Linked DNA regions of Callithrix jacchus. The protein of the gene in region 1 interacts with the protein of each later gene in a biochemical or structural test. Links are inferred from orthologs where the notes say so. Each region holds a gene or a part of one and is shown in the gene's direction. Other genes may lie near its edges. The genes, in order: PML, KLHL20, EIF4E, JUN, RNF4, SENP1 and HIPK2.

Region 1 (3,962 bases):
ACTCAAGGCATCACCCTGCTCCCTGACCTCCAGGCACTGGCTTTCCAGGGTCTTTGGCTCAAGTCCCTCCTTTGCATCCCACAGCCACTGTCCACAGGCCTCTTGCCCCTAGGTTGTCAGAATGACTGTCCCAGCATGCACAGCTGATTGTGCTGTTCCCTGGTTCCAAATCCCTCACCAACTTCCCATCACTCACGGACCTGGTCCAATCTCCTTAGCTAGGATCTTGTCTCAGAACACTCCTTGGGCATCATTTCTCATGAATTCTCTCTTAAATCTGAAAATGACCAAAACTAGTTCCCAAACAGGCGTTTGTGTTTCAAACTTCCATGCGTTTTGCAGGAGCTTTCCTTTCTGTTTCTGTTTCTTTTTCTTTTCTTTCTTTCTTTTTTTTTTTTTTTTTTTTTTTTTTTGAGATGGAGTCTCAGTCTGTTGCACAGCCTGGAGTGCAGTGATGCAATCTCAGTTCACTGCAACCTCCACCTCCTGGGCTCCAGCGACTCTCCTGCCTCAGTTTCCCGAGTAGCTGGGACTATAGGCATGTGCCACCACACCCGACTAATCTTTTATTTTTAGTAGAGATGGGGTTTCTCCATGTTGGCGAGGCTGGTCTCGAACTCCTGGCCTCAGGGGATCTGCCTACCTCAGCCTCCCAAAGTGCTGAGATTACAGGCGTCAGCCACCGTACCCAGCCTATCCCTTCTGTTTCAAGTGTCCCCTGTACCCCACCACCTACAACCCTGAATCCCTGGGGAATTCCCACTGCTTTTTCGGGTCCCAGTTCAGGGCTCTCCTTTCCAGAATGTCTCCGTTTGCAGGCTTGCTCTTCCATTACATCTAGGGCTCTTTGAAAGCAGGGGCCATGCGTGGCTCATCTCTTTGCGCCCAGCTCCCAGCAGGAGGTGGCAAGAGGCAGTGCCAGTGTGAACTGATGAATGGATCAAAGCCGGGGGCGAGGCTGCCCCCTGCAGCTCCTCCCCGCCTTTCCCGCTTTACCATAAGTCAGGTGTGGGTAAGCGGCTCCCCAGCCTCTCCCCTCTCCCCGCTCTGGGCGTGTCTTTAAAACCCCCAATCTGCCTCTCAGCCCCTAGAACCGCCCCCAGCTCCTGTCTCACTTCCTCTCCAGAGGCGGGCCCTGAACTGGCACCTCCCCTTTCGGACCGCTCTAGGGGATCTGCCATCTGGCTCACGTCTCCCTTTCAGCTTCTCCTCCCGCCCTCCAAGATCTAAACCGAGAATCGAAACTAAGCTGGGGTCCATGCAGCAGGAGCCTGCACCCGCCCGATCTCCGGGGCCCCAGCAGGACACCGCCCGGCCCCACGCGCCCACCATGCCTCCCCCCGACACCCCCTCTGAAGGCCGCCAGCCCAGCCCCAGCCACAGCCCTGCAGAGGTACTATTGGGTTAGGGAACGATGGGGTTAGGCTTTGTTGGTTTGCTGTGGTGGGGAGAGGGCGGAAGAGAGAGGTTCTAACGAAGGACTTGGGTCAAGTACCCTAGAGAGTGACACAAAGCAGGAAGACCAGACACTGGGGTCTGCCCCTCTCGGCTGGGGCAGGGAAGGGAGGATAGGATAGAGTAGAAAAGGGGACCCGGAGGAGTTGGCGGGGGGGTCTCGCTGGGTTGCGGTTCTCCACTGAGTAGTTGGGCAAGAAGGGTCTGTGGCCTCCGGGACTGGGCCCTCACGCCCACCCTGGAGCCCTGCCTCGACCCTGTTGCCTCAGATGCCGGACCACAGATTAGGGAGGATGGAGGTAGTAGCCCTGTTGCGCAGGTCTGGAGCCAGGAGCATGTCCCATCACAGCAAAACTAAAACCGACTTCGCAGATCCGAGGGGAGACACTGTGGCCCACACTGAAGAGGTATCTTTGCCAAGGCCTCCCAGCTTATGTGCTTTCTGCTTACGGAAGCCTCTTGAACCCTTCTCTTGGCAGGTCTTTCCTGCCCACCTCCCACCCCCACTCCCAAAGGAACTACTTGGGTTTCTCCCTCTGCTGCCTTCCAGGCCCTGTCGCTCCCCTTCGTGAAAGCTCAGAGGAAACCGTATTACAGTAACTTTTGTTAGCATTATTACAACTTAGTATTACTTAACAATGCTAGCTAACTTTTATGAACACTTCGAATGTGCCAGGTACGTTATTAAGCACTTTGAGTTTGTTTTTGTTTGTTTGTTTTTGTTTTTTTGAGACGGAGTCCAGCACTGTAGCCAGGTCTGGAGTGCAACGGGATGATCTCTGCACACTGCAACCTCCTCCTCCTGGGTTCAAGCAATTCTCCTGCCTCAGCCTCCCAAGTAGCTGGGATTACAGGCGCGCACCACCATACCCGGCTAACGTTTTGTATTTTTAATAGAGACGGGGTTTCACTATATTGGCCAGACTGGTTCTGACCTGACTTCGTGATCTGCCCCTCTTGGCCTCCCAAAGTGCTGGGATTACAGGTGTGAGCCACCACACCCTGGCTGTTTTTGTATTTTAAAAATTGTGGTAAAATATACCTAATGCATAAGTTTCTGTGTATACCATTTCTAAGTGTACAATTCAGTGGCTGTAAGAATTTACAATATTGTGTAACCATCACCACCATTTCCAGAGCTTTTTCATTACTCCAGAAACTCTGTACCCTTTAAACCATAGGAGAGGAAAAAATGGCTTCCCTCCACCCTTCTAGTTTCCTTGGCTGGGCTATGAATTAAATGGTCATAAAAAAGATTAACAAGGAAAAACCAATATTTAATTACCTATGTATACGCAGGAGTCCCCAGAAGTACGAGACTCAAAGAAGGGTCAGATGACTGAAGTCTAGGTAACATCCTGAGCTGCAGAAACCACAGGAGCTTGGAGCTTCTGGGTGGTGGTGATGATATAAGTTATGGGAGGGGGAGGGGAGGAGCTGCTTGGTAAATAGAGGTTGTCTTGTTACGCAGATAAAAATTCTTTTTTTTTTTTTTTTGAGATGGAGTTTCGGAGTTTCGCTCTTGTTACCCAGGCTGGAGTGCAATGGTGCGATCTCAGCTCACCGCATCCTCCGCCTCCTGGGTTCAGGCAATTCTCCTGCCTCAGCCTCCTGAGTAGCTGGGATTACAGGCACACGCCACCATATCCAGCTAATTTTTTGTATTTTTAGTAGAGACGGGGTTTCACCATGTTGACCAGGATGGTCTCGATCTCTTGACCTTGTGATCCACCCGCCTCGGCCTCCCAAAGTGCGGGGATTACAGGCATGAGCCACTGTGCCCGGCCTGCAGATAAAAAGTTCTTAGATTTGCTGCCTTCCTCCCCATCACCTATATCTGGCATTTCTCCGCATGCTATCTCTCCCCAACTTCCCACACCCCGCTGTCCCTCCCCTATTTCCACCCCCCCCACAGACCCCAGTGTGTGATGCTCCCCTCCCTGTAATCACACTGCCATGTGTGTTCCTATGCAAAAATCTTGCATGTTCTTCACATGTACCCCAAAATCTAAAATACAATAAAAAAATTCTTAGAAAATAAAAAATGTCTGGAGCCACCCTCTTCTAATATAGATCATTTTACTAATGTAGATTTTAAGATGTAAATGTCTTTCTTTTTTACAAAAGGAAAGCTTTTCAGAGGTATTCCTGCATCAGCAAGTTCCTCAGAATAACCAGCTTAAAATATGCCAACGAAGTATATTTCAGGGGTGGCATATCCTGGCCTCCTGCAGTCATATTTTGAAGTGGTGTGTCCTGAGTCCCAGCAAAGCAATGGCTCCTCATTTCCCCCTTCCCTTAGCCCTTGGAAAACTTCTGTTCTGCCTTCTGTCCCTGTGAATTTACCTATTTTAGATATTTCATATAAGTGGAATTGTCACAGTAGAGGCTCTTGACTGCAAGTTGTTCAGGTTCTTGGCGTTTTGAACAAAGAACTGGTCAAAATGCACAGCAAAGCAAGGAAAGAATGAAGCAATGAAAGCAGAGATTTACTGAAAATGAAAGTA
Region 2 (3,500 bases), on another chromosome or scaffold:
TTTAAGACAAAACTAAGGGAAAGGATATTCTCACAAACTCCAAAACACAAATGGGCAAAGAGAAACTACCACTGGCCACAAGACCTGCATGAATCTTCAGGAGAAATCAGAAAGAAGCAATTGGATGTCTGACAGATCTAAGAACAAAAGAAAAATTTTTAAGACTCTAATTATTTGCCTTCAGAAGATCATAGGGATCAAATTTATTATCTTAAAACTTGTAAATAAAGTGAAAGAAGTGAGCATATGTCCTGCCTTTATATGAACTGTGTCATATGAATTGAATAAGTAAATAGTAGATAAAATGATTGTTTCTTTATAAAATTATCCCAATTAAAGAAAATAAGTGGTAGAATATTATCATTTTGCAATACTTAGTAAATTATTGTATCTAGACATTGATAAACAGCTGCTAACACACCACCCTCTGTACTCTTGTCAAAGGAACCAAACTTCTGGATCCAGCTACCAATTTGCAGAACATACAAAGGACAGAGGAACAGAATTGCACTGCATTATGAATGTATAGTCAACCACATCCATATTATGGGGAAATTTGTTATACACTCCGGGTTCTAAAACAGATGAATTGCAGGGAGGAAAAGGAATGGAGGGAAACCCTGTAGATAATAATAAACTTTTTAAGTTGTTTTTTTTTTTTAATTTTTTTAAAAAATATGGAATGCTTCACGAAGCTGCGTGTCATCCTTGCACAGGGGCCATGCTAATCTTCTCTGTATTGTTCCAATTTTGGTATATGTACTGCCAAAGGGAGCACTAATTTAAGTATGTTTTTTTTAGAGATAGGGTCTCACTCTGTCGCCCAGGCTGGAGTGCAGTGGTACAATTGTAGCTCACAACTGTCTGAAGCAGTCCCCCTGCCTCAGCCTCCCAAGTAGATGGAAATGCAGGTGAACGCCACCATGCTTGGCTAATTTTTTTTCCCCAAATCTTTCATAGAGATAAGGTCTCTCTGTGTTGACCAAGCTGGTCTTAAACTCAAACTCCTGGCCTCAAACAGTCCTCCAGTCTCAGCCTTCCAAAGTGCGGGGATTACAGGTGTGAGCCACTGCACTTAAGCTTTTTTTTTTTTTTTTTTTTTGTCTCAGCCAGGCACAGTGACTCACCTGTAATCCCAGCACTTTCGGGGGGCCAAGGGGAGAGGATTGCTTGAGGCCAGGAGTTTGAGATTAGCCTGGTCAACACAGATTGACCTATTATTAAATAAATAAATATTAATTTATAATTTTAAAAATTAAATGCTAATGAGTATATAAACACAAGGAAATGATAACTGTTAAAAGTCAGGATAATGGTTACTTTGTGGGAAAGAGAAGATTGAGATTGGAAAAGGACACATTGCAGGACTTCCAGAGTGGCATGCAAAGTTCTTTTTCTTGGCTTGGGTGGTGGTTTCTAGGGGGTTTTCCTGATTATAACTCTAAACTATACATTTTTGTGTGTGTGGCTTTCTGTATTTTTATTTTACAGTTTTATTTTATAATAAAAATGTTGTTTTAAAGAACTGTGCAAAATACTTCTACTTCCAAACAGGATGTAGTAGAGAATAATAGCCATCACTCCAACTATAACAACTAGAAAAAGACGACAAATTACAAAAATCATATTTTAAAAGACATCAGAGGCATGTAAAAATGAACTAAAATTTCATTAAAGAGCCTGTGTATGTGAGCTGTGACAGGTTGTTTTTTTCCCTGGGGACATTTTCCAAGTCTGAGTAGAAAATAGCTTAATAACTGGCACAGACATAATTGTGACTTTTTTCTAATGGCTATTAGTGTAATTTCAGATCGTATGAAAAAGGTTTCACTTAATAAGAACAAGCATACAGTCTGGTTTCCCTCACTACAGGTATGATCCAAAGGAGAACAAGTGGACTCGGGTAGCTTCTATGAGTACCAGAAGACTAGGTGTGGCTGTGGCTGTGTTAGGAGGGTTCTTATATGCTGTAGGTGGCTCTGACGGGACATCTCCACTCAACACAGGTTAGTTCTTTCCAAAGGCAATTAGGTTCCCCAAAAGCAGAACATTTTCCTGGAGAGTCCTCCTACAAAAAGTATAAAAACTCCAGGTTTTCCTAGGAAAATGCTTTATTTTCCCTCCAGGAGAGTGCAGCTCTCAGTTCTTCCTCAGCTCCTACTGTAGTCATAGTCTGAGTATATTCCCCAGATATTTCTTTGTTCCTGTTTTACAAGCTGCTGGAAATTTATAATGAATTTTAAAAACTACTTTCTTATATAATTAGTTCCTTTTACCATCACAACTTCTCCTAAAAAAAAAAATACTCTGTTATAATCTAAGAATAAATAAAAACTTAGAACTACAAATCAGTTTATTTGGATTTTGTTGTTTTTGTTTTTTTATGACAGGGTCTCACTCTGTCACCCAGGCTGGAGTGCAGTGGCACGATCTTGGCTCACTGCAACCTCTACCTCAGAGGCTCAAGCGATCCTCCCACCTCAGCCTCCTGAGTAGCTGGGATTACAGGTGTGTGCCACCACGCCTGGCTGATTTTTGTATTTTTAGTGGAGATGGGGTTTTGCCATGTTGCCCAGGCTGGACTTAACCTCCTGAGCTCAAGCAGTCTGCCCACCTCATCCCCCCAAAGTGCTGGAATTATAAGCTTGAGCCACTGCACCTGGCCTGGTTTGTTATTCCTTTCTATTTAGATATTATGGGTATATTTGCCTAAGGATATTGTTAGTGTGACAGTCATGCCAGATTAATTGTCACGTCTTCACTTCAGAGGCTTAAAATGCACTATGCTAGAGGGAAGGGAATACAGGATACAGAAGTTTTCTGATTATGATGATGAATTATTAGTATTTATTGATCATGTAGTCAATCTCCCCACTTAAAAACAAGGAGAGTGAGGCCGAGAGTCATGTAGCTAATTATTCATTTAGTCAAAACTAGAACCTGGAGTATCTGAACCCCAACACATGCCCTTTCCACTGTACTATACCTAGAAGAAACCAGCCCCTAATGAGAGTATATGTCATACTGTCCAGAGGTATACAAATCCTTCTCAGAAACAAAAATCAGATCATGTGGATCATGTGTTGAAAATATGTGTTATCACTAAGTATCAATGGCTATAAAGAAAACTGGAGGTGAGAGGAAATGGTTGAATGCTCACTTACTGGTTTTTCTTTTCTGTACAGTGGAGCGCTACAACCCTCAGGAAAACAGATGGCACACTATAGCCCCTATGGGGACCCGGAGGAAACACCTAGGCTGTGCAGTATATCAGGACATGATCTATGCTGTAGGAGGTAGAGATGACACTACAGAGCTGAGCAGTGCCGAGAGATACAACCCCAGAACCAACCAGTGGTCTCCGGTGGTAGCCATGACATCACGCCGTAGTGGAGTAAGTGGAGTTGATGAGAGTATATGTCATACTGTCCAGAGGTATACAAATCCTTCTCAGAAACAAAAATCAAAACAAAAACTTAAGTTGCTTCCAAATCTTGGCT
Region 3 (3,992 bases), on another chromosome or scaffold:
AAGACATACATACAAAATGTAAGCCTGAATTTGATTAGTTTCAGCGGATATAAAATTGTCAAATTGCTACAGATTTTCTAAGTGTTTACTTTGCATTTCTATACTTAACCTCACTGTCAACCATGACCAGTTTGTGGACCAGCAGTAGCAGTCTGTAGATAGTCTGTGGACTGTACTTTGAGTTACTGGTTCAAACTATTATTAGTGCCCAGGGGGATTAATGATGATTACGTACTTCAAATATGGCGTGGGGAGATCTGTCTTAACCTGGAAAAAAAATTTTGGAAATTCCTATGAGTAAATAGGTGTTTTTTATGTGTATTTGGGTTGAGAATTGCTGTGAGAAATCTTGAATGTTCAAAACCGTGGAAAAGCACATCATGGTTTTGGAATTTAAGCAATGTAGATTTGAACATGGTGAGGAGAATCTAAAATTTAGTCAGATTTATTGAAAACACCACAGAATGATGTTAGACCTGGGAAATATTTGCCTCTATAAATTAGGATTGTCCCATAAGATTAATATTACACCTGTGCTAGTTTTGCAGAATGTAGTAAAAAGCTACCTGACATTCTTGGCAGCTAATTGTTAGGGTTTTCTCACCCTTGCTTGTCTTTTTTCTTCCCTTTCAACTTTCTTTTGTTGCTATGACAGTTTATTCAGCCCTGGGTTTGCTAAATTTTAATACTAAACATTTTTATTTGAAGCTGATGAACTCAGCAAATCTAAAACCAGGTTTAATACTTTGCTCTTAAATTGGTGATCTTTTGTTTTCTTGCCATTTGGATTTAATCTCTTTGACCTTCTAGTTAATGTCTTTCATTGCCCCCAAGATGAAAGGTACACTTTTAGCCTGACCTGAGGCCTTTAACAGTCTCACTCCAACCTATCATTCTAGCTCTTCCCTTTCATAAACTTTGTCTTTCAGCCACACTGGTTACTATCTGGAGGAACACAGCACCATCCATGGCCTCACTCTTACACTCTGTTCTACTCACCTAAAGTATGTTACACAATGCTTTTTCAAGGGAAGATTGTCTATTTTAGTTTAAAAATGTGTTCGATTACTTTGAGTTAGCCATAATCTGCTAAATTAGCGTTTACTTTTTTGTTCAGGTAGTTTATAAACCTAGAAATATTGGTCATTTAATTTTTTTTACTTTTTTTTTTTTTTAATTCCCCAATAGAACCTGAGGTTGGTCATTTAGGATGTATTTTCCAGTGAAATTTTCTCACTGAGAGAACACCAGCCTGAGAGAGCAGAGAGGGGAATATGGTAGGACTTTGCAGTATTTTTATTTTATTTTATTTTTGAGATGGAAGTCTTGCTCTTGTCCCCTAGGCTGGAGTGCAATGGCTTGATCTTGGCTCACTGCAACCTTTGCCTCCCGGGTTCAAGCGATTCTCCTGCCTCAGCCTCCCGAGTAGCTGGGATTACAGTTGCCTGCCACCATGCCTGGCTAATGTTTTTATTTTTAGTAGAGATGGGGTTTCAGCAGGTTCGCCACTCTGGTCTTGATCTCCTAACCTCAAGTCATCCACCCACCTCAGCCTCCCAAAGTACTGGGATTACAGGCGTGAGCAAAAGTATTGGACCTCCGAAAGTACTGGGATTACAGGTGTGAGCCACCTCGCCCAGCCGAGTTTTGTTATTAAATTGAATGTAAACTTAAAACTTTTTAAGTGTCTATAGGAAGCAACCTTAAAAATAAGATTATACATCTTAAAATAGAACTTGTTTCTGGAAGTATTTTTTAGTTCCCAAATAGATGATATGAAAAGATGGCTGTGGCCATTAAAAATTCTTATGGTATTATAGAGCATTTGTTTCATAATCAATCTATATAATTAAAAGTGAAGATTAGAGAGTTTAAATTAGTATACTTATTGATTTGTACATACACACATTTAAAAATGTATAGCTTTTTTTTGTTTAAAAATGTGTAGCTTTTTAAAGTTGTTGGAAAAGTACAAAATAATGTGTTCTTAATATGAAGACTATAGTATCAATTACTTAAAATGGGACTTCTAATTCAAAATAACACTTTTAAAATTTTAGGAACTGAATGTTTTTCCTGAGTGATTATCTACTTTTAGTTTCTGTATGTCCAAAGATTTGATTACCATGTTAGTATTCCATCATTTCCTCAAGAATGAAAAGAATGGAATAATAGAAAAGAAGAGAAAGAACTAAATTAGTTTTAAAATGATGTTTTGGACTCTATGAAACTTGTAATTAATCATATTGTAATTCACTATTTATGTGCTGCTGAGGTAAAAGGTTTAAATAAGTGTTGCAAAAGTATGGTTTATAGTGAGGATTTTGAGCTTATGAGTAAATTTAAGAGAATTTAGCTATCTACTCTCAGGTCTTTTGGATAATAAATATTTGACTACATATCTTGTTGTGTTAACATATATCTCTAACTTTTGTTTGCTGCTTCAGTAAATCTGATATCCAGACACTTGTTGCATTGCCCCTTTTTTTTTGTATCAGTCTTTGTCCTAATGCCTTTCTATGGATGTCTTGTTCTGGTGACAACAATTTATTGTAGTGTGAAGAGCTACATGGAAGAATGTGGTGAACACCTATTTTAAATTACTATTCTTCTTTTCTTACTGATATTTCTAGATGACAATGTTAATTATGCCTAGCCTAAAAGAAGATTTAAGTTCAAACCAATGTCCATCATCTTAGAGTCCATTGAAAATGTTAAGTTGCCGAACTTTTAGGTTACCATAGGGTAAACAGTATGCCATGAAGGCAAGACTGGCATATCATTGGCTTGATCACTTTACAAAGCTTATTTTGTCATCATAATATAGTTTTGTTTGTTTCTTTGACAGGGTCTTGCTGTGTTGCCCAGGCTGGTATCAAACTTCTGGGCTCAAGCAATCCTCCTATTTCAGTCTCCTGAGTAGCTGAGATTATAGGCATGCACCACAGTGCTCAGTGATAAGTTATTACACTCTTGAAACTTTAGTTTCAATCCTCTATCCATCCTGATATCACCTTCAATACCATATACAGTATCTTAATGAGATGGTATGTTAAGAAAGATAGCAGATTTTCCTAACTTTGTTGCATAATCTGTGACAGTCTTCCTGCTATTAAAAAAAAAGTATAAGTGGAAGGATAACCATAGATACTATTATATTTTCCAGTTTGAGAAACCCTTTGCTCTTAATGAAGAGATACAAGAATAGAGAATGGTTCTTTAGAGGTTGGTCTATGGTCTGTTTAATGAAGCAATCTGCTCTAATTACTTCTTCTTAAAAAATATTATCAGCATGTCAGTTCAGGTTTAATTAGAATATTCCTATCATAGGTGTGTTAAGAAATTTAAAATAATGTTTTATATTTTATACTAGGAAACCACCCCTACTCCTAATCCCCCGGCTACAGAAGAGGAAAAACCAGAATCTAATCAGGAGGTCGCTAATCCAGAACACTATATTAAACATCCTCTGCAGAACAGGTAAGCTTTCTGACACCTAGGTTTTCTGAGTTAGGCCACAGGTAAGGGAAAGTTAGATTATGAGGCTAGTTTTAGATATGCTAAGGTTGAGGGTTCTATTTTTCGCTTGGATGATCCATGACTAGCAGACAGTTTTATGTGTGAGTCTTGAGCTCAAAACAAACTAGGTGAGAGATTAGTTTGAAATTCTTCAGTATATTGGACGTAATAGAAGCCACATTATTAAGTAAGTTCCTTTAAGGAGAAGTGAACTTTACTCAGGACAAAGACCTGGGATACTAGCATCATATAGGGGGCTTTTGTTGAAGAAGAATGCCTATGAAGGATGGATATGCAAACTAAGAGTGGTGGTCGCTGGATATGGTGGCTCACACCTGTAATCCCAGCACTTTGGGAAGCCAAGGCAGGTGGATCACCTGAGGGTTGGGAGTTTGAGACGAGCTTGGCTAACATGGTGAAATGTCTTCTCTACTAAAAGTACAAAAATTAGCTGGGCATGGTGCCGGGTGCTT
Region 4 (4,295 bases), on another chromosome or scaffold:
AGCCCAGGGAGGTATACTGCATCGGCCCCACCGGCAGATGAGGGACATGAAGCTCAGAGAAGTTCCATGATTTCCTCGTTCCGCACTGTGGCAGCCTGGCCACGAAAGAACCAGGATTCCCGACTTCAAGATTCTTTCCACCACACACTTTCGTCCCTAAGGAGTGGGGGCGGGGGGGGTGGTGGGGAGATAAAATAACAACCGCGGAAAAGGAACCACTTACATGTGTCTAGCGCTTCCTAGAGGCTACCCAGGATATGGGCCCACAACCCGGCCCGGAGTGCAGAGATTTGAAGTCCAGGTTCTATCCCGGGCTCCGAGTTCTACTGCGTGACTTTATGCGAGCGTCCGCCGCCTTCTGGGCTTGTTTTCCCGGAAGCAACACGGCGCAGATGGAGTGTGTGTGTGTGTGTGTGTGTGTGTGCGCGCGCGCGCCTGTGTGTTGAGCGTGCTGTGTTAAGCGTGTGCGTGTTGTCCGGGGGCGGGAGGGGGAGTATACTAACACCGGGCTTCCCCAAGTTTCGGATTGCCTACATGCTTGTTCCCATCTGGACCCTGTTACCCACTAATTGCTCTCACTATAAAAACTGCCCCTCCAAGGCAAAGCTATGAACCCCCGCGTCCCCGGAGGATGAAGAGAGGTGCAACGGAGACTCAGCTGAGCGTTCAGTTTCGGGCAATACAAATTTCTCGGCTTCTATGAGCAGCCAGACGACCCCGCGGACCATCGCTCCTGAACTAGACCAAGACAAAGTTCCGAGCGTTCTCAACTTGGGGGGCCGACTCTCGCGAGACCGCCCCCAAACTTAAGCGCCCTTAGGCTCGCCCCCAACTGGGACTTCACAGAGCCACCTTAAGGGCGGTGCTCCCGCCCCCGGAAGTGCGCGGGGGGGGCCACAGACTTGGATTCTCAGCCTCCTGCCCCGCGCGGTGGCAGACGCCGGCGGATGACTTCGAGCCCCACAAGTGGAGAAACCCCAACCACCCCTCGCCCGCACCCTTGGCCCCCAACAACTGGCCGGGTTCCCTGGCCTCCCGCGTCCCCTTATCCCCTGCATCTCTGCATCCCTGTCCGGAGCCGTGAACTTGAGCGCCCCCCCCCACCCCAGAGACGTTGCGAGCGTCCGCCCGCTCGCGGCAGCCACCGTCACTAGACAGTCAAACCCCAAGACGTCAGCCCACAATGCACCGGGCGGGCCAGCAAAAACGGCCGGGGGAGGAGACCAGGGAAGAGAGGGCCGAGAGGCGTGCGGCAGGGGGAGGGGAGGAGAAAGAAGGGACCGACTGTAGGAGGGCAACGGAGCATTACCTCATCCCGTGAGCCTCCGCGGGCCTAGAGAAGAATCTTCTAGGGTGGAGTCTCCATGGCGACGGGCGGGCCCGCCCCCCTGAGAGCGACGCGAGCCAATGGGAAAGCCTTGGGGTGACATCATGGGCTATTTTTAGGGGTTGACTGGTAGCAGATAAGTGTTGAGCTCGGGCTGGATAAGGGCTCAGAGTTGCACTGAGTGTGGCTGAAGCAGCAAGGCGGGAGTGGAGGTGCGCGGTCTCAGGCAGACAGACAGACACAGCCAGACAGCCAGGACTGCAGTAGAGTCCGAGCTGCAAATCTTTTCTTTTCCATCTTCTCTCCAACTGCCCAGAGCTAGCGCCTGTGGCTCCGGGGCTGGTGTTTCGAGGAGTGCGGGGAGAGCCTGGTCTCCAGCCGCCCCCGGGAGAAGAACCCCGCTGCCCAAGCGCTGCTGACAGCGGCGGAGAGCAGCGGTACCCACGCGCCCGCCGGGGGACGTCGGCGAGCGGCTGCAGCGGCAAAGAACTTTCCCGGCTGGGAGGACCCGGGCCAAGTGGCCCAGAGTCCCGGAGCGAACTTTTGCAAGCCTTTCCTGCGCCTTAGGCTGCTCGACGGCGGTAAAGACCAAAAGGCGTTGGAGAGACGCGCGAGAGAAGGACGTGCGCTCAGCTTCGCTCGCACTGGTTGCTGAACTTGGGCGAGCGCAAGCCGCGGCTGCCGGGCGCCCCCTCCCCCTCGCAGCGGAGGAGGGGACAAGTCGTCGGAGTCCGGGCGGCCGAGACCCGCCGCCGGCTGGCCACTGCGGGGTCCGCACTGATCCGCGCCTCTGGGAGAACCGCCGCTCCTGGAAGTGAGTTCGCCCGCGGGCTCCGAGGAACCGCTGCGACCGAAGATCGCTCAGTGAGTGACCGCGACTTTTCAAAGCCGGGCAGCGCGCGCGAGCCAACAAGTAAGAGTGCGGGAGGCATCTTAATTAACCCTGCGCTCCCAGGAGCGAGTTGGTGAGTAGGGCGCAGCGGGGACGACTGCCAGCAGGCGCGCACGCTCTTAGAGAAACTTTCCCCGCCAAAGGCCCGGGGGGACGCGGGTGTACCCCGCTTGCCAGAGCGCTGTTGCGGCCCCGAAACTTCTGCGCGCAGCCCAAACTAACCTCACGTGAAGTGACGGACTGTTCTATGACTGCAAAGATGGAAACGACCTTCTATGACGATGCCCTCAACGCCTCGTTCCTCCAGTCCGAGAGCGGAGCTTATGGCTACAGTAACCCCAAGATCCTGAAACAGAGTATGACCCTGAACCTGGCCGACCCAGTGGGGAGCCTGAAGCCGCACCTTCGCGCCAAGAACTCGGACCTCCTCACCTCGCCCGACGTGGGGCTGCTCAAGCTGGCGTCTCCCGAGCTGGAGCGCCTCATCATCCAGTCCAGCAATGGGCACATTACCACCACGCCGACCCCCACCCAGTTCTTGTGCCCCAAGAACGTGACAGACGAGCAGGAGGGCTTCGCCGAGGGTTTCGTGCGCGCCCTGGCCGAGCTGCACAGCCAGAACACACATCCCAGCGTCACGTCGGCGGCGCAGCCGGTCAGCGGGGCGGGCATGGTGGCTCCCGCGGTGGCCTCGGTGGCGGGGGGCAGTGGCAGCGGCGGCTTCAGCGCCAGCCTGCACAGCGAGCCGCCGGTCTACGCCAACCTCAGCAACTTCAACCCCGGAGCGCTGAGCAGCGGCGGCGGGGCGCCCTCCTACGGCGCGGCCGGCCTGGCCTTTCCCGCGCAACCCCAGCAGCAGCAGCAGCCGCCGCAGCCGCCCCACCACTTGCCCCAGCAGATGCCGGTGCAGCACCCGCGACTGCAGGCCCTGAAGGAGGAGCCTCAGACAGTGCCCGAGATGCCCGGCGAGACGCCGCCCCTGTCCCCCATCGACATGGAGTCCCAGGAGCGGATCAAGGCAGAGAGGAAGCGCATGAGGAACCGCATCGCTGCCTCCAAGTGCCGAAAAAGGAAGCTGGAGAGAATCGCCCGGCTGGAGGAAAAAGTGAAAACCTTGAAAGCTCAGAACTCGGAGCTGGCGTCCACGGCCAACATGCTCAGGGAACAGGTGGCACAGCTTAAACAGAAAGTCATGAACCACGTTAACAGTGGGTGCCAACTCATGCTAACGCAGCAGTTGCAAACGTTTTGAAGAGAGACTGTCGGGGACTGAGGGGCAACGGAGAAAAAAATAACAGAGACAGACTTGAGAACTTGACAAGTTGCAGCGGAGAGGAAAAAGAAGTGTCCGAGAACTAAAGCCAAGGGTATCCAAGTTGGACTGGGTTGCGTCCTGACGGCGCCCCCAGTGTGCACGAGTGGGAAGGACTTGGCGCGCACTCCCTTGGCGTGGAGCCAGGGAGCGGCCGTCTGCGGGCTGCCCGGCTTTGCGGATGGGCTGTCCCCGCGCGAACGGAACGTTAGACTTTTCGTTAACATTGACCAAGAACTGCATGGACCTAACATTCGATCTCATTCAGTATTAAAGGGGGGAGGGGGAGGGGGTTACAAACTGCAATAGAGACTGTAGATTGCTTCTGTAGTACTCCTTAAGAACACAAAGCGTGGGGGGGAGGGTTGGGGAGGGGCGGCTGGAGGGAGGTTTGTGAGAGCGAGGCTGAGCCTGCAGATGAACTCTTTCTGGCCTGCCTTCGTTAACTGTGTATGTACATATATATTTTTTTTAATTTGATGAAAGCTGATTACTGTCAATAAACAGCTTCATGCCTTTGTAAGTTATTTCTTGTTTGTTTGTTTGGGTGTCCTGCCCAGTGTTGTTTGTAAATAAGAGATTTGGAGCACTCTGAGTTTACCATTTGTAATAAAGTATATAATTTTTTTATGTTTTGTTTCTGAAAATTCCAGAAAGGATATTTAAGAAAATGCAATAAACTATTGAAAAGTACTCCCCTAACCTCTTTTCTGCATCATCTATAGATACTAGCTATCTAAGTGGAGTTGAAAGTTAAGAATGTC
Region 5 (2,855 bases), on another chromosome or scaffold:
ACTGTTGAGATGCCACAGCCCCTGCCTCCTGCTCTCCAGCTCCAGGTACAGTTCGCTCTCCAGAGCCCCTCCCTGTTGCTGCTGCAGCCTGGCTCGCTCTTTCCTCTAACTGGTCATCTTAGGCATAGACAGGGGTGGGATTTTCTGGGGACAGTGGCTGCTCTGGGGCAAGGGCAAACTCAGAGCCTCTTCTTATAATGCCTTCTAGATTGTGCAGAATGGACGTCTCATCGTTTCCACAGAATGCGGCCATGTCTTCTGTAGCCAGTGCCTCCGTGATTCCCTGAGGAATGCTAATACTTGCCCAACTTGTAGGAAAAAGATCAACCACAAACGGTACCACCCCATTTATATCTGAGGTGTTCAGAGTGCTCAGGAGAGACGGATGGACAGCCAGCCAGCCAGGTTCTCCAGTGGTATCTATCTGCCTCCATTTTCCTGAGCTCAGAAAGACTGTTTTGAAACCAACGTCCGAGATGTAAACCCCTCTTTTGTTTCCAGCCCCTTCCTTTTGTTATCTCCAGTTTGATGCTACGGCACTGGGCCCAGGACCCTCCCAGTTCATCTCTGTTCCTCTGGGCTAGGAGAAAGGGAGGAGTCAGGCACATTGTAATTGGGAACTGTGGTTCTAGTCTGCTTGGAGAACGTGCACAGTTGCCAAGAAGTTTTCCCTGTTTGGAAAGTTTGCCCCAGCTCTCCCAGGCACCCCACCTTTTGTCCCAAGTGTCTGCCGGTTGACCAGTCTGCCTGCCCACACATTGACCAAGCCAGACCTGGTTCACGCAGCTCGAGGATCCCAGGTGCAAGAGTGGCCCCTTGAGGTCACCGTGATTCTGCCCGCACCTTACCATTGATCTGCAGTGATTTCTGCAAAAAGAGAAACTGCAGGGCAATCCCCCGTTTTCTAAGAAGGAAAAAGTGCAATAAAGGCTATTCTTTACCTACTTTTCAGCAGCCCTCAAGATGTAGCACTGTTAGCACACCCTCAGAGGCCTAATGTTGCTTGCGGAGCAGTGCCCATCCCAGCCCCTTTCTGCCCACCAGCTGTTCTCAGGAACCGTACCCACGCTCCAGTGTCCTTCACCTGGCACAGGACATGCAAGTCAAATAGGGCAGGCACTTGTGTGGGTGTCCTCTCCTTTCTGATAAAATCCATCCTGTGTTCACCACACACCCTCCAGTCCTCAGTTCCCACTGCCTCATGTCTGCCCCCGCATAGGTGCTGAGAGGTGGTGGCAGTAATTGTGACCGTGGCCTTAGCAGCCGCTCGGTTCCAGGCTTTTGCCCCAGTCACTGTTGCCCCACGTTTCAGAGAACCTGGCCCACCTGACTTGGCTTCCTCCTCCTTCCCAACCCAGTGGCATTTACTTCAGAAACTGCTCCTCTGCACAGTTGGGCTTGGATCCTTTGGGCTTTTGACTACTCCATAGGTTTTGATTGGCAAACACAGTGGCTTGTCCCCCCACAGGAACCCAGATGACAACCTCTCCTTCACTCCACAGGTGTGGGAGCCTCGGGTTCTCTCAAGGGGCAGCAGAGTGCCCCTGACAGCACAGGGCCTGGGGGTGGCTAATGAGAGAGGCCTTAGAGTGCCAGCCTGCCTCCTCTTCCTCACTCCTCCTTCCTCCGAGGGCTTCAAGCCAAACCAACGGCCTTTTCAGTGAAACAGCTTCAGAGTGGGAAAGGGGCCACTTCTGGCTTTGTTAGCAATAACTGACCTTCAGTTTACCCTTCTGAAGGAGCAGGGACTCAGCACAGAACTCACTTTAAATGGGGCTGAAGGAGTGTCCCTCCTCTATGTGAAAAGAAAAGAGTTTTATTCTTCATTCTGACTTTTTAACTGTTTGGCTCAGTTAGTTTGAATGAAAATCATAGTTTTCTACCTGGAGTTGAAGAGGGCAGGAGGCTCAGCTCTCACTGTCATGATGTTTAGCGTGTCTGCCCTCTGACTGGACATCATTGCCATTAACTTTCTTCTGGGTGTCATGGCAACGTCGTGATGCCCAGACTTGGAGCAAGGCAACCTTGGAGCCAGTCCACTAATAAAATATGGTTAATACCCATTTTTAAATTTCTTTAAGTTTTATCCTTAAAGATAACTCAAGTGGTTGATAATAAAAGTTGTGTTACTTCGTCCTAAATTAAATTGGTAAAAAAAAATTTTAATGTGTTTGGTTTCTACTATTGAGAAACTGCAAACCAGGAAAAGGTTGGTATGAAAATGTCTCTCCTTTTTTCAGTGTACATAGTTCAGCTTTTTCTTTGTTACATTTAAACTATATCCATGGATATCAATCTGTTTTGGACTCCTCTGCTAGTGTTAAAGATGGAAATAAAACCATTAATTTGAACCAAGTATCTTTCACACATTCATTTTCTCTTTGGAATTAAGAGTCTGTTTCCCCCCTTTTTGCCAAGGTGTGGGGTTCTTATCTGCCTTGCATTGAGTATATTTCACATCGCTGTGCGTTCATGAAGTTTGTCCGTCCTAAATCCAGCAAGCATGTGAAAGGCTATTCTGAGAACAGAGCCACAAGCCCAAGCCTGGAGTCCCTAAGAGAGCAGAGTCGACTCTGAGAGGCACGGCTGACCGAGAAGCTGTCTGCCCAGCTTGGCCAGCCTCTCAGAGGTGCTGGGGGTGCTGCTCTGAGTGGGATGGGCTAAGATTGCCCTGGAGACCTTGCACTGCAGTGCCCCCCTTTGCCCCTGGTCACCCAGATACAGAATTTGCCCTCTGAGTGGGAGTCAGCGCTCGGAGTATGTAGATGCACCAGTCACTGCCACAGGTGAGCAGTGCCAGCAAAACCACAAGGAGGCATTGGACTTGGCAGTGTGGCCAATCTGTCCCTTTGCCT
Region 6 (3,979 bases), on another chromosome or scaffold:
TAGGCCTCAGGACTTGACAATACGTAAGTATCAACATATGGGGCGACACAATGTACTTTGAGATATTTGATAGGGCAGGAACTCAGCAAGCTGCTAAGAGTATTAGAAAGGCATGGGCCTCCAGAAACTGCCCTTCTTCAAGCCTGAGCTCAGACTGTGCCTGTGGCTGTGGTATGAGTGTAAAGGACCTACTGAGGGGGGATTTCTCTGAGACTTCTACAGGACCTGGGTCCAGAGGCCTGCCAAGCTGAGGTGTTTGACAAACAGTCTGAATGAGCAAACATATTTCTTCTCATTCTTTTTATTTTTTATTTTTGAGACGTTGTCTCGTTCTGTTGCACAGGCTGGAGTGCAATGGGCATTCTCGGCTCACCGCAACCTCCGTCTCCCGGGTTCTAGCAATTCTCCTGCCTCAGCCTCCCAAGTAGCTGGGAATACAGGTGCGTGCCACCAAGCCCGGCTAAGTTCCGTATTTTTTTTTTTTTTTTTTTGGAGACAGAGTCGTGATCTGTCGCCAGGCTGGAGTGAAGTGGCGCAATCTCGGCTCACTGCAACTCCACCTCCTGGGTTCAGGCAATTCTCCTGCCTCAGCCTCCCAAGTAGCTGGGACTACAGACGTGCGCCATCACGCCTAGCTAATTTTTGTATTTTTTAGTAGAGACCGGGTTTCACCACGTTGGTCAGGCTGGTCTTGAACCCTTGACCTCATGATTTGCCCGCCTCAGCCTCCCAAAGTGCTGGGATTACAGATGTGAACCACCGTGACTGACTTCTTCCCATTATTTTCTTTTAGAAAGTATGGCAGATTTCAGGTTAATCAATGAGACCTAGGAACAACCAAGCCCTTCAGAGGTCACAGGTGATTCCTGGTTCCTTCCCTATCTCTACCCAGAAAAGCAGATCTCTGGTGGACTCCCAGTAGCTTTCCTCACAGCCCTGCCTATGTTTCAAATCCCTCCAGAGTTCTGGAAGGTTCTACATCTTGCCAGAGCCTAACCTCATCCGTCCCCAAGCAGCTTTCTCTTTTTTGTATGCTGGTCCATCAAGCATGAGGTGGTGCAGAGCAGAACTGCCAGTTAAGAAACTTGCTTCCGAGTCTTAGATGCGACATGCATTTAAAACCCTTGGGAAATCACTTCTCTGAACCCGGTTAAGACCATAAACTATCTCCAATAACCTGTACAAGCGCTAACGTTCTGTGATTCTCAACAGCACACGAGATAGCCTGACATCGATTTAGATCTCAGGTCTCCATCTGTCGGGGGAAGCCACGGGTTTCCGCAGATCTGGGGCCGCAGCGAAAAGCTGCCATAGAAACTGGAACGCAAGCAAAACTCGCCGAGCGGAACCAGAAGGAGGCGGGTAAGGGAGCTGAGGGAACAGAGAAAAGCATAGGACGAAGGGCTCACTAACAGTATTCCGGGCGCGAGAAAGCGAAAAGGCCCAGACTGAAAAGGGAACTGAGAAATTACGACTCGTCTTAAATGCTCCCTTGACTTCTGGGGACTTGCCACACCGCGCAGGCGTCCCACTGGTCCTTAGCTCTGCTCTTTGACCTCCTGCCCCAACCCCCTTCCTCCGCAGCCACCGAACGGCTCTTCCGGTGCTGTGAAGGCGGTTCCGGTTCGCGGCGGTTCCCGGGTTTTGCGTTCCGCGCCCGGCCGGAAACCCCTTCGCATGGCAGCCGGTTCCGGTTCGGTGAGTGGCGGCGGGAAGCTGGGGGAGGGGTGAGGATGGAGGGAACCTGGGCCAGGAGGCTGTGTCGGACCCGGTCCGCCGGCCCGGACTGGACTGGGCGGAAGCGAGGAGCACTGTGGGGCCGGCGCCTTTACCTCTGCCCCGCCCCCTGGGACCACCTCCCCTCCCCCCTGCTGTCCGGTGGCCGTGCGGTGGCCGCCGGTGGCCGTTAGGCTACCTGAGGCCCTTCCTTGCGGTCCTCTCTCCCGGGCCGCGGAGAGGCCGTCTCCCAGCCGTTACAACAGGCCCATCCCCGCGCCCTGCCGTACTTGTGGGAAAAGGCCGGTTGGGATTCCGGGGCTTTCCCGCCAGAGCAGGGTCTTGCGTAGGGAGAGCTGCTTTCCCCGGGAAGCTCGGCCGTCTACGCTGCCGGCTTCACCTCCCGCCTTCCTTGAGACCTGAGTGGTATTTCCGGACTCCCCCTGCGCCCCACGTAAACATTTCTCCAACTCTCTTGCTCTGTGGTGTCTCCCTGAGCGGTGCTACCGCTGGTGCCACCAGCAGAAAGACACGGCCGGACCCTCCTGCTCAGGTTATGAAGATCCCCTTCACGGCCCCAGTGGCTTACCTGGCTCATCGCCTCCGGGTAATTCCCTGGAACCGGCCCCCTGGGTGCACCCGAACGTGGTCCTGGATATGCGCCTCGTTTCCCTTCCCTCGAGCTTGGGGATTTCTGTTTATCGGTGTCTGTGCAGTATTTCCACTATCTGGCTGGCATCACTTGCTCCTTTATCACTGTCAAGTCAGCCTCGTTAAAGTCATTTTACTTCGTCTTTGGTACACATTATACTTGGAGTGGTGGTGATTCTTGTAATATTCACATAAAGCCTTTTATCTACTACCAACGATTTCACTGAGGGTCTTTGTTGTAATGGGTTATTCTGGACGGATTAGAGCACATCGTCTCCTAAATCTTTATCGTTCATAAAAATAATTTGTGTTTCAACTCGTGTTGAAATACAGATTACCCTGACTTTGAAATTACAGTTACACTGAAACTTTAATCATCTCTTTAAGGATGATCCCTTAACCTACTTCCACTCTACAACCCCCCACCCGCCCCCTTTATTTTTCTTCTTTAGTACCTTTTAGGAAGTCTTATTCTTTTTTTTCTTTTTTTTTTTTGAGACAAAGTTTCGCTCTCGTTACCCAGGCTGCAGTGCAATGGCGCCATCTCGGCTCACCGCAACCTCCGCCTCCTGTGTTCAGGCAATTCTCTTGCCTCAGCCTCCTGAGTAGCTGGGATTACAGGCACGCGCCACCATGCCCAGCTAATTTTTTGTATTTTTAGTGGAGACGGGGTTTCACCGTGTTGACCAGGATGGTCTCGATCTCTTGACCTCGTGATCCACCCGCCTCGGCCTCCCAAAGTGCTGGGATTACAGGCTTGAGCCACCGCGCCCAGCCCAGGCTTATTCATTTTTAACTGACTTCAATTCATTACCCCAGTTGCAAAGACGGTCTTCGTATCACTCATCTAACGAGCTGTCTGGAGGGAGTAGATGGATGCAAAAACAGGTTCTGCTACTTCTGGCTAAGGGCATGCAGTTGTTGACTACGCCTTTGGAAATCTGTCTTTTTCTTCCGAACTTCTTCTTCTATCAATCGTACTAGCTCTGCTGTCTTGCTGTATCTGTTTACGGATCTGGCTTTCCCTACTAGACAGTGAGCTTCTCAGTGGCAGGGACGCTCTCTTAATCATTTTTGTATTCCCAGCACCCTGCACGTAGTTGGTGCACAGTAAATGAATATGTATGAAAAAATTTGAATACTTAGGGTTTACTGTGTTAGAGTGTTAAGGTGTTTAAGGTGTTAGAGTCTGATTGGGAGAGATTACATGTAAAGATAGAGGGGAAGAAATAACCTCAAGCACATGATGATACAGTACAACTGTTGTACACATAACTTTTTCAGAACTTGGAAAAGGGTGATTTCACGTGATTGCTTTCATACCCTTCTCATGTCATAAATTCTGCTCACCACATCTTGGTCTTGGATAAAGCTAACATTAGCTCAATATATATTTTCTAGTAACTTCATTTCAGCCCTGAACATTGTCTTTTATAATCCCCTTTGCATGTGTGTAAGACTGTAAATGTGTCACCGCAGTTGTCAAGCCTGATCTTTTTTGTTCTTTCAGATTTCCCTTCACCTTGTGTTCAGCTACTAACCCGACTTCATCTGAATGACTGTAACTGCTTATGTTCTTCCAGGAAATCAAATGACCAGTGTGTACGAGGAA
Region 7 (4,234 bases), on another chromosome or scaffold:
CATTAGGTTGAGAGAAGTGGTAGGAAGTGTAGCATTGATTGTGGGGGGCAAGGAAGACGGCGGAGTCCAAGATCACACAGAGGAAGGGGCTGTGATGTGCCACTAACGAAGTGGGAAACAGCTTGCCTTTTTGGGGGGGAATAGAGGATGGAGAACGGAAAGGATATGAAGTAGTGAGAAAATCATCGGGTTGTATTTAAGAAAGTCATACAGTGTTAGAGATGATTATTTTACACCTTAAAAAGATAGCTTCTCAACTTTGTTAAACCCACGATCCACAGTTGGAAATAAAATTGACATCATGCTCCAGTACACTTGTCCAGTACCTATAATTGAAACAAAAGGTTTATGAAACAATAGTTTCCCTTACTAAGGGCAGTGGATTCTAATATTTTCTATTGGATTCAATTTCATTCTTTTTTAAAGCCGGTTGCCGTCCGCTGCATTTATTTTATGATTTATTAATGTGTCACGACCCACAGTTTTAAAAACAGCTTAAGAGGAGACTCAACAAGTCTTCCTAAGTTGGAGGGGATGGCAGGGCATCCTATCCAAGCACACGGGAGACAGCTGGAGAGGCAAACCTGTAGAGGCTCCAAGCTGGGGAGAGTTTGGAGAATGTTTAGCGGAAGCCCTGATCGGAGAGAGCGCTGAGACAAGCGAGGACCCAGACAGTTGTGAGCTCCCATTCAAGTGATGGGGTGCGGGGAGGGTGGGGCTCGGGACAGTGTAGACGCGACGAGGCGAAGATCAGGGTGTCTTGGAAGCCAGATTCCGGCAGGAACCCGGCGACCACCCCGGGGGCTGCCTTTCCGCGGCGTGCACTGCAGGGCTTGGTGCCTCTGACCTCGTGTAGCTTTCCGAAGCTCGTCCACTCACCCGCCCTCCCTGGGAGCACGGCGCGCTCCCACTCTTTCCTTCATTCATTCTACTCCTACCTCCGCGAGAACCAACGGGCTGCGAGACGGGCGAACCACTTTGCAGCCGGGGGCTCTCCTTAGGGTCGGTTCCGCTCCGGGCCAGCACGCGCGCACCCTCGCACCCTGGCACACACACGCGCGCGCGCGCACAGACACACGTGCACACACACACACACACACACACACAAAGTTCTGGGGCCCCTCTGCGGACCGGCTTGGCTGCGCTGGGCTCGGAGCCGTGTGCCTGCCCGGCCCAGGCCGCCCCCCCAGCGGCTCCCCGGGGCCCGCCCCGCGCCCCGTCCCTCCGCGCTGCGCGGCCGCCCCTCCCCGCGCGGTCCCCTCCGGCCGCCGGCGCGGCTCTGCCCTTCGGCTCGGCCTTCCCCGCCTCGCATCCGTGCCATCGGCGCTCGATTGCGCGCGGACTCCCTGTGGCTCTCCCGGCCCCGCGCCCCGCCCCCGCCCGCCGCCCCCCTCCGTTAGCAACTTTTGCGGAGCCCCCGCGCCCAGCCATGCTGAGCTGAGCCCCGCCGGCCCTGGCCGCGCGCTGCCCCCGGCTCCCGCCCCTCCGCGGACCCGCTCGGGGGCCGCGGCCGCTCGGCGCCTCGGCCTCGGCCGCTCCGCCCGCCCGGCCGCCCCGAGCCCCGAGCCCCGAGCCCCCCGCGCCGGGCCCGGGCGGCAGCGGCGGTGGCGGCGGCGGCGGCGGCGCGCCCGGCCCCCTCCCCCGGCGCCGGCCACGGGAGGCGGTGATGCGGGCGCGGGCGGCCTCGGCTGCGCCGAGAGCGGAGACACAGGCTCAAGATGGCAGATTCCGACTGAGGCTGGGGGGGCCGAGCTCGCGCGCCGCTTTCCCGTCCCCGTTGCCATGAACCGCGGACACCCCGGCCCCGATGGCCCCCGTGTACGAAGGTAAGGGGCGCCCGGCCCCGCCGACCCCTCTCCCGCCGCCCCGCCGCGGCCCCCGCAGCTTTGTTCTGCCCGCGGCCCCGCGCCCGCAGCCCCCGGCGCCCGCCCCAGCCCCCACCCGGGGCCCGAGGGGGCCGCGACCCCCTCCCGCGCCCGGAAGATGACCGGGACCCGGCGCCGGCGGGGCCGCTTCCAGGGCGGGGAGAGGGGCCGGGGGCGCGGGAAGGGAGGGGGCGTGTGCGAGGGTGGGCGGCTGCCCGGGGAGGGCAGGGGCGCCAGGGAAGGCGGACCCGTGACTGTGCTTTTTATTTATTTGCGATAAATGAAGGTGCTGCGGCTCAGCTTCCACCGCCCCCCCACGCTACCTCTCGGAGCACCTCCTTTCCACTTCGCTCTCCGCCCCGCGCCCCTTCCCATTTCTCTCCGCGCCCACCCCACGCTCCTTTATTCTCCGCGAGCCTCCGATTTTGGGGGGGGGCCGTGGAATCGGAACGCGCGGGGCTAGGTGGGGAGAGAGGAGAGGGATGAAAAGTCCATGTCAGAGCCAGGCAGAACAATGAAACAGGCGAAAATCTCCCCGCATTAGCGTGTGCAAGGGTACGTGGACTTTGGGTTTTCCAGCCGGGGAAGCCGCGGAGACGTTTTTCTGGCTCAGTCTGGGTCGACCTGTGTGGTGCACCTTCACCTGGCGTCGGGGTGTTTTCCCCCATTTGACTGCCTTTAGGAAGAAAGAAAAGAACGCGAGGCGGAGAAGCCGTGGGTCTGCCTCGCACACTCTGTTTCGTTTCTCTTCGGTCCGTTCTGTCAGCTTCCAGCCAGAAAGCAACCCAGAATCAACTAAGTTTTTACACTTCGATGTGTTTTTGTGTGCTTGTAGTAGGGGGAATTTTAAACCTGTGTGTCTGATTTTTCTGTTGTTTCATCGTGCAAATGTTTGTCTCGTGAAATCATTGAAATCGCAGCCTTCACATACTTTTAGCGTGGGTCCCCCTGGCTTTCTTTCGGTTTTGTTCGGATATTCTGTGGGGTGAAATCGCAAATGAGAGGGTACAGGGTTTATGTGTCACAGAGGAGGGCATGAGGGGGGAGTGTAATCCGCCTATAAATCCAGAGAACAGTTGTGGCCAGTGAGACAGGGAAGGCATTAATAGTTTTATCTCTGTTATAAGAGGCTGATTAAAAAAAAAAAACTTATCTGAAAAGAAAATCTGTTATTAGTTCCAGGGCTCCAAATGAATTAGATTTCTGGCCGGAATAAAGTTACCAGTCAGGCCCTGGATAACGAGGCTGTAAATAACCTATGGACTGTAAATATTTTTTTTCAGACTCTCTTAGAAACAAAGGGGCTGTTTAGAAGGCAACAGAGAGATGTTATTCCAGGGGCTTTCCTCTTTGATTCTGAAGAACACAAGGTCCATTTAACCGTTGGACAAAACAAAACGAAATTTCTGATCACTCCACCACTCAGAATAGAACATGCCGGTGGACATGTGAACATGTGGGAGAACCCATGTCGGCCATTCATTGTTCATCTGCGTCTACAGGAGGGGGCTACAGTCAATGCTCCCACTGTCTAGAGTGTTAAAATGAAACAATTTTCTCTTTATTAAGTACCTCCTTGAGACTCCCTCTGCTGGACACTCTCGGTGAGTTGAGAGAAGGAACTTGGCATTGAATTCAGAACTATAGTAGACGGCTGGTTTCCCTGTTACTAGGGACCGGGTATGTGAGTTGGGATGTATTTTGTCAACTTTATGGAAAGCCATCTTGGGAACCGCACTGTTCTTCTCCTGCCCCTTTCATTCTAAATCCATATGGAATGTAGGCGGTGCCCCGGAGGCTGAGACTTGGCCTCTCCCGGTTCCTGCTACATTGTTCCTCCAGTTCCTTAAGCCAGATAAAGAACTGCAGGTGTGTAGGGTGTTATGTTTAAGAATCCTCATGGATCTCAAAGGTCTCATGAATTGTTTTTATTTGCCAGCCTTCCTTCCCTGTCTCAGGTGACCTCCGTGGTGGCCTTTTTCAGACCTCGGTTTCCCTCCATCTTGTCCATGTGCCCTCTTCATTATTCCTGCGCTGTGCACCCTTTTATTCCGGGTGTGTCTCTGTGCACCTTTATCATTCTTTTTCTAATCTTCCTTCTCACCCCACCTCAACTAGCCCACATCACTCTGCCGAAAGCCCACGGCCGGGGGTTTTTGAAAGAGACTGTTGGATATGCTCAGAACAGACAGGTGACCTCTAGAATCAAGGATTAGATTGCTAGGACCCACATTCACTCACTGCGATGAGTGTGCCAAGACTCTGATGACCTCCTTTCTCCCGCCGTAGTGACATCCGCTGGGTTCAGGGAACCTGATTTTTCCCCTGTCTCAATCAGAGCACGTGGACTCCCTGTGGGCATGTTAAAT

What was found.
Region 2: the proteins of PML (region 1) and KLHL20 form a complex in vitro, tested with the Homo sapiens proteins (3 studies listed by BioGRID and IntAct, with this or other methods). The link is inferred for Callithrix jacchus from reciprocal best matches to the Homo sapiens genes PML and KLHL20.
Region 3: the proteins of PML (region 1) and EIF4E form a complex in vitro, tested with the Homo sapiens proteins (4 studies listed by BioGRID and IntAct). The link is inferred for Callithrix jacchus from reciprocal best matches to the Homo sapiens genes PML and EIF4E.
Region 4: the proteins of PML (region 1) and JUN form a complex in vitro, tested with the Homo sapiens proteins (2 studies listed by BioGRID). The link is inferred for Callithrix jacchus from reciprocal best matches to the Homo sapiens genes PML and JUN.
Region 5: of the proteins of PML (region 1) and RNF4, one has a biochemical effect on the other in vitro, tested with the Homo sapiens proteins (3 studies listed by BioGRID, with this or other methods). The link is inferred for Callithrix jacchus from reciprocal best matches to the Homo sapiens genes PML and RNF4.
Region 6: of the proteins of PML (region 1) and SENP1, one has a biochemical effect on the other in vitro, tested with the Homo sapiens proteins (2 studies listed by BioGRID). The link is inferred for Callithrix jacchus from reciprocal best matches to the Homo sapiens genes PML and SENP1.
Region 7: of the proteins of PML (region 1) and HIPK2, one has a biochemical effect on the other in vitro, tested with the Homo sapiens proteins (2 studies listed by BioGRID). The link is inferred for Callithrix jacchus from reciprocal best matches to the Homo sapiens genes PML and HIPK2.

The regions. Positions count from the first base shown.
Region 1 is NC_133509.1:20,897,471-20,901,432, forward strand, and holds the start of PML (protein PML), read left to right. Parts: upstream 1-1,162; 5' UTR 1,163-1,258; coding exon 1,259-1,393; intron 1,394-3,962.
Region 2 is NC_133519.1:29,281,905-29,285,404, reverse strand, and holds part of KLHL20 (kelch-like protein 20), read left to right. Parts: intron 1-671; exon of another isoform or gene 672-778; intron 779-1,872; coding exon 1,873-2,006; intron 2,007-3,185; coding exon 3,186-3,394; intron 3,395-3,500. UniProt on the Homo sapiens protein: Substrate-specific adapter of a BCR (BTB-CUL3-RBX1) E3 ubiquitin-protein ligase complex involved in interferon response and anterograde Golgi to endosome transport.
Region 3 is NC_133504.1:98,561,735-98,565,726, forward strand, and holds the start of EIF4E (eukaryotic translation initiation factor 4E), read left to right. Parts: upstream 1-1,192; 5' UTR 1,193-1,317; coding exon 1,318-1,620; intron 1,621-3,028; exon of another isoform or gene 3,029-3,044; coding exon of another isoform or gene 3,045-3,047; intron 3,048-3,373; coding exon 3,374-3,480; intron 3,481-3,992. UniProt on the Homo sapiens protein: Acts in the cytoplasm to initiate and regulate protein synthesis and is required in the nucleus for export of a subset of mRNAs from the nucleus to the cytoplasm which promotes processes such as RNA capping, processing and splicing.
Region 4 is NC_133508.1:95,863,949-95,868,243, reverse strand, and holds the start of JUN (transcription factor Jun), read left to right. Parts: upstream 1-1,495; 5' UTR 1,496-2,466; coding exon 2,467-3,471; 3' UTR 3,472-4,295. Other genes in the region: uncharacterized protein LOC128928178, read right to left, coding at 224-225. UniProt on the Homo sapiens protein: Transcription factor that recognizes and binds to the AP-1 consensus motif 5'-TGA[GC]TCA-3'.
Region 5 is NC_133504.1:190,644,863-190,647,717, reverse strand, and holds the end of RNF4 (E3 ubiquitin-protein ligase RNF4), read left to right. Parts: intron 1-208; coding exon 209-358; 3' UTR 359-2,355; downstream 2,356-2,855. UniProt on the Homo sapiens protein: E3 ubiquitin-protein ligase which binds polysumoylated chains covalently attached to proteins and mediates 'Lys-6'-, 'Lys-11'-, 'Lys-48'- and 'Lys-63'-linked polyubiquitination of those substrates and their subsequent targeting to the proteasome for degradation.
Region 6 is NC_133510.1:2,422,250-2,426,228, reverse strand, and holds the start of SENP1 (sentrin-specific protease 1), read left to right. Parts: upstream 1-1,179; 5' UTR 1,180-1,362; exon of another isoform or gene 1,363-1,586; intron 1,587-1,605; exon of another isoform or gene 1,606-2,305; coding exon of another isoform or gene 2,306-2,314; exon of another isoform or gene 2,315-2,474; intron 2,475-3,979. Other genes in the region: PFKM (ATP-dependent 6-phosphofructokinase, muscle type), read right to left, coding at 2,306-2,314. UniProt on the Homo sapiens protein: Protease that catalyzes two essential functions in the SUMO pathway.
Region 7 is NC_133512.1:107,576,291-107,580,524, forward strand, and holds the start of HIPK2 (homeodomain-interacting protein kinase 2), read left to right. Parts: upstream 1-1,434; 5' UTR 1,435-1,782; coding exon of another isoform or gene 1,783-1,807; coding exon 1,808-1,826; intron 1,827-4,234.